Linked DNA regions of Oryctolagus cuniculus. The protein of the gene in region 2 interacts with the protein of the main gene of each other region in a biochemical or structural test. Links are inferred from orthologs where the notes say so. Each region holds a gene or a part of one and is shown on either strand. Other genes may lie near its edges. The genes, in order: ACVR1 and BMP7.

Region 1 (3,858 bases), on a different chromosome or scaffold from region 2:
TGAGGAGTCACTGCTCAATAGAAGCAGAGTCAGTTTTACAAAATGGAAAAAGTCCTGTGGATGGATGACAGAGACAGTAGAACAATAACAGGAACAAACTTAATACCACTGAATTGTAAAGTTAAAAACTGTTTAGATAGTAAATGTTATGTATAACATGAATCAAAAATCTATTTTTTAATTTTCAAAGACACTAAATGTGACTAGAATATATCCTTTCCGAGTGAAGGCATGCTAATGAGGTTACTAACTTACCTCTGCAGGACGCTCGAGGATTTTCTCCCCTCTTCTCTTATTGGACTGCTCTAAACCCTACTGTTTGACTCCTGCTGCGTACAAGAAGTGAGAAACACCAAGATCGGACTCTCCCAAGCAGCAAGGTGGGACTAAGGACTAAGACCACTTTATGCTCACATCGGACTTAACTACTAAACCAAATGCTTTGCTACCCTTCCTCCCACTTGTATTCACAGTCTCCTTGGGAGAAAGGCAGCTCAGAGAGTTCTGTAACAGAACTGATTTATAGCTGGGGAAACTAAAGGGAAAAACGCAACCACAGCCAAGAGAAGAAACAGATAAAAATCAAATTTTCTGATACCAAATTCAAGCTGTAGTACATCATTATTGTACCCTCAAGGTCATTAGCAGAACTGAAAAGCAAAATCAGTTTACAAATTTTGTGTTTCTATTGCAAAATGCTTTATGTTATGCAGATCTTTTTCATACACTAAAAAACAATTTCACTGTTTGACTTGAAAACAGTTTATTTAATTTATACAAATAACTACTAAATACAAAAAGTAGATTAAAACAAAATAGTTATTTTTTTCTGGCAGAGTTTAAATGCACATAATGGATAATTCCGAAGAAAATGCATTTTCCCCACAGCGTTCAGGACTAAAATTCTACTGAAATCTTTGCTTCTAAATCAGTAATATATTCGGTGGTGTCACATGGGTACTGGACTAAATACGTTCTGCATATGAACTGAAAAAAAAGTTACAGTCTACACACATACAAATGTGAAGCACTTAAAATGTGAATTTAACTGATAATAAAAGAAAATGTCCATTTCAGAGTATAGTGTTAAAAACATTTCGGTAATAAAATCATAAGACCACATAAAAATAAGCTTTAACATTTGCACACGGCAGTTTTGTAAAAACTGCTTAGTGCACAAGTAATAAATAATTTGCAAAGTTGTATATAAACAATTCCTAATGTTCGGCATCATTGTAAACATCAGCACATGTGTAAAATGCAGCAAAGTCTGACATTACATTTTGTTTTGCCAAATTGAATTCCTATTAACCAAAGACAGCCCAGTGGAGTACAAAGCCAATGTTTTGGCAGGTTGGGTCTTTAAAATTAAGAGTAACAGTGCAAGTAAGGAATGCAAAGAATTCCTAGTGCAATAAAGAAGAGAAGCACAGGCAATATTGCTGATTAAAATTCACCACCTCCTTGAGTTTCCCGTGGGGAGTGTCTAGGAGACCTGTGAAAGATATGCAAAAGCCACTGTCTTAATGCCCAGATCTCTTTTAGGATTTCTCTGTGTTCCTCCAGTTCCCTACCTTTGCAGCAGTGTCTGCCCACCATTAGTCTCTGTGGTGTGAACAGTTCGTGAAATGCCCAGTTCACAGTCGTTGAGCGAGGTTAGGGTGGTTTTGGTGTCTCCCCAGCACACAGCTGGGTAAGATATCTGCCTTGTCAGAGCAGCCACTTGGGGAGGGAGACAGGGATTCTGTTCTGACAGCCAGTCAGGCCGGTATGAGGTCCCAGCTGGACAACAACAATGTCACATCTTCCTTCTTGACACCACGAAAATGTCAACAGTCAGTTTTCAATTTGTCTAGGGAATTATCAATTTTGGTCAAAGTCTTTTTGATACGCAGAGCTGTGAGTCTTGCAGATGGATTCTGATACCAGCATTCTTTCATCAGCTTGGCCAGAGAGGTTAGTGTCTGTGGAGAGAAAGGACACACACTACAATGACAAACTGGCTTTTCAATGACCCTGGAAGCTGGGCAGGAGCCACGTCAGCTGTTCTGAAGAACTTGGCAGGTCTTGTGAAGTTAAGGTGCCATTATTTTTCCATCTTCTTTAAGCAAATACTCAAGGTCTTAACTGCTGATAAAGAAGCTGCTCTTAAGTTTCATGGACTCTGTCCTTTGGACTACCAGCTTACTTTATCAGGTAAATTACACAGGCCATGATGCACCCCTTGATACTGTTATGGGCATTAACAGCAGTAATACAAAACCAGAGATAATACTACAATTTACAAATGTATTAGTTCTCAGTGTTTGAGATCTGCTACTGTAAGAATGCAGGGATTTCAAAACTTTTTATACCAAAATAAACTTACCATTTAATTCCAATTTTCCACGAATTTTTTGAAGTACCTTTGTATTTATGACTACAGGATCTTCAGCACTGAGTAGCTTATGTTTGGAATTTCAGGTATGTAGATGGACAGGAGATTCAAACCAGCACTCAAGGGTTTCTTGGTTTACCCTTGAAACTACAGCCCTAGGGCTAGCAGTAGTAGGAATGAATGTCCTAATTCCTGGAGAGCTAGTAAATCACTGAAATTCTCATAAATAGGGTCGTTAGTTAGCAAGATCTATCAGGCACAATTCCTTTTCCGAATCTATTCAGCAAGGTTTAGGAGCCTAATTCATAAAATAGGGAGGAAGGGCAACAGACACACAGGGCAGATGATGCAGATACTTCACCAGCTCAAACTCAAGAGCGAGCAAACAGCAGATGAGGACAGCTCCAAAATACAGAAACTCTTACCGGGTCTGAGAACCATCTGTTGGGTATGTTTGGCCTCTGTTGATCAACACAGACTACTTTCCTCATATCTTCAAAACTTGGGTCATTGGGAACCACATCATAGAATGGTGGCTTATAATCCTCCACTATACCTGCAATGGGACAAGCACGGCGTTAGGTCAGCAAGGGAGTAGAGGTTGCCCCGGGGATCTAGGAGGGCTGTCACAGACTGTAATGGGACAGGGGAAAGACCTAACTGATCGCTTTCCTCATGCTCCAAGGCAGCTCTGGATCCTACAGGTAGAACCTAAAGTAAATAGAGAACAAGGCAATAAGTATATACCTTGCAGGGAATTACAGGAATGGTAACTGTTAGAGGAAACTATATGACCACTTCTCTTATAATCACAGTTATTGAAAAAAAATGCTGCAATAGTAGATATGCACAGCTCTATTGTGCCCAATAAAGCATAGCAGGTCTAGGACAAAATTCCTTTGGTGATCAGAAAGGGATAAGACACCTCAAAGAAAGTACAAAGATCTAATGATTTCAAACCAGGAATAGAAATAACAATTTTTCACAAACAGGCAAATAAGCAAATCAAAACTATGATCAGCGACTGGTGCTGTGGCACAGTGAGTAAAGCCACCACCTGTGATGCTGGCATCCCATATGAATGTTTGCGTCACTGCTAATAGCCTGGGAAAGCAACAGAAGATGGCCAAAGTATTTGTGCCCCAGCCATCTACATGGGAGACCCAAAGAAGCTTGGCCTGGCCCAGCCTGGGCAGCTGTGCCCATCTGAGGAGTAAAGCAGCAGATGGAAGATATCTTTCTCTCTCTCTCATATATACATATATATTTACTTATTTATTCAAAATTCAGATATATATATATTAATTTTGAATAAATAAGTAAATCTTTTTTAAAAAAATCAAAATATCCCTTTTTGTTATGAAATTATTTTGTAAAAAAATTACAACTGGAAGGGATACTGGAAGGGATGCAAATAATGTCATATGAAATACTCATTTCCCCACTCATTCATTCTACATGTACTGAGTTCCCATCAACTA
Region 2 (4,259 bases):
TCACGTGGCCTGCAGGGCAGCGGAGGTATGCGCTGGGGGAGGGGCCCTGGGGGAAGGCCGCCTGCCCCCTCATCCCCCCAGATCCTAGCTGAGGGCCCCCAGAGCCCCCCTGTGATGAGAACGAGCGGTGATTTCAGATGAACGAGTGATTCCTCTCCCCTAGGTGAAGTGTCAGGATCAACCATCCTGGAGAAAACTGTGTCTCACACACCACGGTGATCCGCAACCCCGGGGAAAAACAGAGTGTCCTTCGCAGCCATCCAAGTGCCTGAACAAGTCTCCTACACACCCCCAGCCCTCCCCAGTCCCCCGGGAAGTCCCTCCTATGGAGAAATTCCGAGCGAGCGAGCAGTAGATCAGAAGAGACAGCGAGTTTACCCCCGTGCCGTCACTGCACAGAAATTAAAGGCCGACCTTGGAGGCGTCCACAGGCTGCAGCCCAGGTCTTCAGCCACCTCGTCACCTCGAGTTTAGGGACAGAGAGAGAAAGAAAACAACTCCATGCACTCTGCCCTCTGATGTGGAGTGATGTTGCGGGGGCGTCCACAAAGCCCAGAGCCAGCCCCGCTGATTAAGAGGCTCAGACAAGCAGGTCTTTGTCCCTTCGAGATGAAAGCCGCGGATTGAAAGGTGTGTGTGCAGCCAGAGGAAAGCCACCCAGCTGCGGCCTTCCCAAACAGGTCTCGGCTTGCTCCCGCTGCCAGGAGGGGGGCGGTGCAGCCAAGTGTCCAGGGGCCCCCACATAGCAACCCAGCTCTTCTCCCGGGCCGGCCATGCTGCCTGTGCCTGAGCAACTGGGTACTTTCTGCTGGGTTTTCCAGAGCCTGGACAGGAGCTGGGGATTACGGATACTTCTGTAATGACCCTGGCCAAGCTCCGGAGGCAGCTGCCGGGACCTGAGATGCCGCACTCGGTGGGAGCCACCGGCACACAACAGAACCCAGGATCCCACAAACCCCACCCGAGACACGGCCCTGGAGGACCACAGAGCCCCAAGTGCCCTCATCGACTTGTATGTACACATTCGGAATGTTGCTTTCAATAAAGACAAACATAAAAAGGGAATCGCAGGAGGAAAACAGCCCCGGCTCCCTCCCCCAGCCCCACCGCGCTGCCAGATCTTGTCCCAGTGGGACAAGCACCCATGTGACCCTCGAGGCCTGCACCTTGCTCCCTGCCACCCCAGGCTCCCCGGGAATTGCTCTCGATCAAAACCCAGGACGCCGCCTCCCCCTTGAACAGGCGGCAGAGCCTCATTTAAACTTTCCCGAAGTTATTTTGCCATCTGACCCTTCCACCCCTTCTCCGCGGAAGCTCCGGTTCCCAACTTGATCTTGGCCATTATTAAGGGCAGACAATGGCCTCCCGGGAACCTCAGGGACCTTATCTGGAGCGGGAAGCCCGGGAGGCGGATCCGCGCTTCCCGGGGCGCCCCCAGCCGCCGCCATGCGCGCCCCTGTGCCCAGCGCCGGGCTTCGGTGTCCCTCGCTTCCTGGTTGACGGCGCCCGCGGTCGTGGGTCTCTTGCCCCGACTTGGTTTGGGTTTCCGCGGCGCGGCGCACACGTAGAATAAAAGCGGCTAACCCGGGCGTGTTATCTCGGAAACCAAATATTTGATCCTCAGCGCTCAGAGCGCGCTGCCGGGGGTGAGTTTGTGCGAGTCTGGTGCGTGCCTCGCGCGCCCCCACCCCGCCTCCCGGCAGCTGGGGCCGGGAACCGGGGGCCCCGGGCGCCCCCGGCGGTGTCTGCACCGAGACGCCCGCCACCCAATCGCCAGAACCGGTGGTTTGCGCGCCACACGTGATAAACGCTGAAAATGGATTCTGCCCGCCCGGGACCTATCATTACATATTTAAAATAGAAAGCTCGCAATGGCAACGGCTCTTCCCCAGCTGCGGCCGTGGGAGCCCGGGCCGAGGGGGGCGCCCGGCGGCCGGGAGAGGGGCCCAGAGGCGCTTGGAGCGCGCGGCTCGCCCAGGCTGGCGCGCCGCGAGGGGACAGGTAGGGCTCGCCGGGGAGACGAAGGGAAGGCGACGTCCGCGGTGCCGGGGCCCAGCTGCGGGGAGAGGAGCCGAGGGAGGGCGGGAAGGCGGCTTCCCCGAGCGCGGCCCTTTAAATCCAGGTAGCGCGGGGCCGCGCCGGCCCGGGACGGCTCACATGACCCAGCCCCGGCGCTTTGAACTGAGCCGCGGCCCGGCGGGTGACCTAACTCCGAGGGGGCTCCGGTCCGGTCGGCCCCTCCCTCCCTCCCAGCAACTTGCACAGGCCAGCTGAGGCCGGTCCGCCCTACCTGAGGGTGCACACGGCTTGGGTCCACTAGGGCCGAGGGCTCGGACACCCGGAGACAGCAGCTGCCGCGTTGCAACCGGCCACGAGCGGAAAGATGGGCGCGCTGGACGGGCGGAGTGGCCCCCTCCCCGGGCCGAGACGCCCCCACCGGAGACGCTCACGGCCGCCCTGCCCTCACTCACCGAGGTTCACGAAGCTCATGACCATGTCCGCGTCGGTGAGGAAGCGGCTATCTTGCAGGCTGGCCAGAGGGGGGCCCTGGGTGCTGAAGACGGCCTTGTAGGGGTAGGAGAAGCCCTGGCCGTCGGGCCCGCCGCCCTCCTCCACCGCCATGGCATTGTACAAGTCCAGCATGAACATGGGCGCCGAGTTGTGCTTGCCCTGGAGGTGGGGGCGCGGGCGGTGCGGCAAGCCCAAGATGGAGAGGATCTCCCGCTGCATCTCGCGCCGCTCCTGGCTGCGGAGGCGCCGGTGGATGAAGCTGGAGTGCACCTCGTTGTCCAGGCTGAAGTCGGCCAGGGCGGAGCGCAGCAGGAACAGGGGCGCCCAGAGCGCCACGAAGCTGTGCGGCGCCGCGGCTCGCAGCGAGCGCACGTGCATCGCGCCGGCTCGCGGGCTCCGGGCACCAGGCTCCGCGCCTCCCCAGGTGGCAGAGGGGGCAGGCGGCCGTCCACGCCGCTCGGTCACTTGCTGTAGACGGGCCCCGCTGCGCCCGCGCCAGACATGGCCCCTCCCCGGCCGGCTGCGCTCTGCCCCGACCCCCGCCCCCCACCCTGCTCCGCGCTGGCCCCGGGCCCCTTGCCCCGCGCTCGTCCGGGCGCACCGCACGGCTAGGAAACCAGCTCCGGCGAGCGAGCAAGCAGGCGAGCGAGGAGGCGGGCGCGGGTGGGAGGAGCAGCCAGCAAACCTAGGCGTCCCGAGAGCGAGCGCCGGGGAGGAGGCGAGGCGGCGGGCGGGCGAGCGCTCCTTCCTCCGGCTGCTTTCGCCTCGCGCGGCCGCGACCCACCCTCTGCCGACCCCCGGCGGGGAGAGCGAGGCCCCGGCTCGCGCTCACAGCCCCGCGCGCCCCTGATCGCCCCAGAGGCCGCCTCCGGAGCCCCGGAGCGGTGCGCGCTGGGGCCTGCGAGCCGGGAGGCGGAGGACGGGCTTGCCCGGCCCCTCCCGGGCCGGCCTCCCACCTGCCCTCGGCCCCGCCCTCCCCCCAGCTGTGCCCAATGGGTTCATTCATTCTTCCAGCGCGCTCGGCAAATATTGACCGAGTGGCCACGGGGCGCCCGCCGCGGGACCCGACCGCGCGGGATGCGGAGGGAGGACCCCAGGCCGGCCCTGCCCCCTCGGGGGCAAGAAAGGAGGCCCCGGGCCGGAGCGATGGAGATCGGGCTGCGCTGGGAAAAGCCGGGAACGGCGCGGAGGGGGCAGGCTTTCCGGGAGGCGGCGGCCCCGGCTCCGCCTGGTCCCTCAGCCCCCTCCGCCTGGCACTGCAGCCCCGCTGGCCTGCGCGCCTCCAGGGGCCTGCCTCTCCCTCTGCCCGGAGCTCCCGCTCCCAACGCCCTGGCGAGCAGCGTCCTCTCCTGGGCTCCACCCACTTTGTTCTCTTTTCCTTAATTTCTTTCACTGTGCGGAACTGCACTCTCTACTGTGCCGTCTGCCCCGCTTAGAGCCGCGACGCCCTGGGAGCCCAGCGCCCGCCCCCCCCCCCCCACCCCGTGCCTGTGGCCAGCCTTCACGGAATGAACAAGACCTCCCTCGGTCTGGGGTCTGAAAGCCCCAGCCCAGCCACTGTCCACCTCGCCATCGGCCCGGGGAGGAGCAGACAGCAGCAGGTGGTGACCTGGGGCCCCACCCCAACCTTTCTCCTCCCCCACCATCAGTAAAGGACCCTGTGTCCCACAGGACCCAGCCGCCTGGGAACCCGCCAGCGTCCCTCCCCCACCCCGGGCTCAGGCTCCTCCCCTGTTACCCAGCAGAGC

What was found.
Region 1: the proteins of BMP7 (region 2) and ACVR1 form a complex in vitro, tested with the Homo sapiens proteins (2 studies listed by BioGRID). The link is inferred for Oryctolagus cuniculus from reciprocal best matches to the Homo sapiens genes BMP7 and ACVR1.

What each region holds. Positions count from the first base shown.
Region 1 is NC_091434.1:84,308,211-84,312,068, reverse strand, and holds the end of ACVR1 (activin receptor type-1), read right to left. Parts: intron 2,934-3,858; coding exon 2,803-2,933; intron 1,965-2,802; coding exon 1,830-1,964; 3' UTR 747-1,829; downstream 1-746. UniProt on the Homo sapiens protein: Bone morphogenetic protein (BMP) type I receptor that is involved in a wide variety of biological processes, including bone, heart, cartilage, nervous, and reproductive system development and regulation.
Region 2 is NC_091442.1:4,586,100-4,590,358, reverse strand, and holds the start of BMP7 (bone morphogenetic protein 7), read right to left. Parts: upstream 3,029-4,259; 5' UTR 2,890-3,028; coding exon 2,472-2,889; intron 1-2,471. UniProt on the Homo sapiens protein: Growth factor of the TGF-beta superfamily that plays important role in various biological processes, including embryogenesis, hematopoiesis, neurogenesis and skeletal morphogenesis.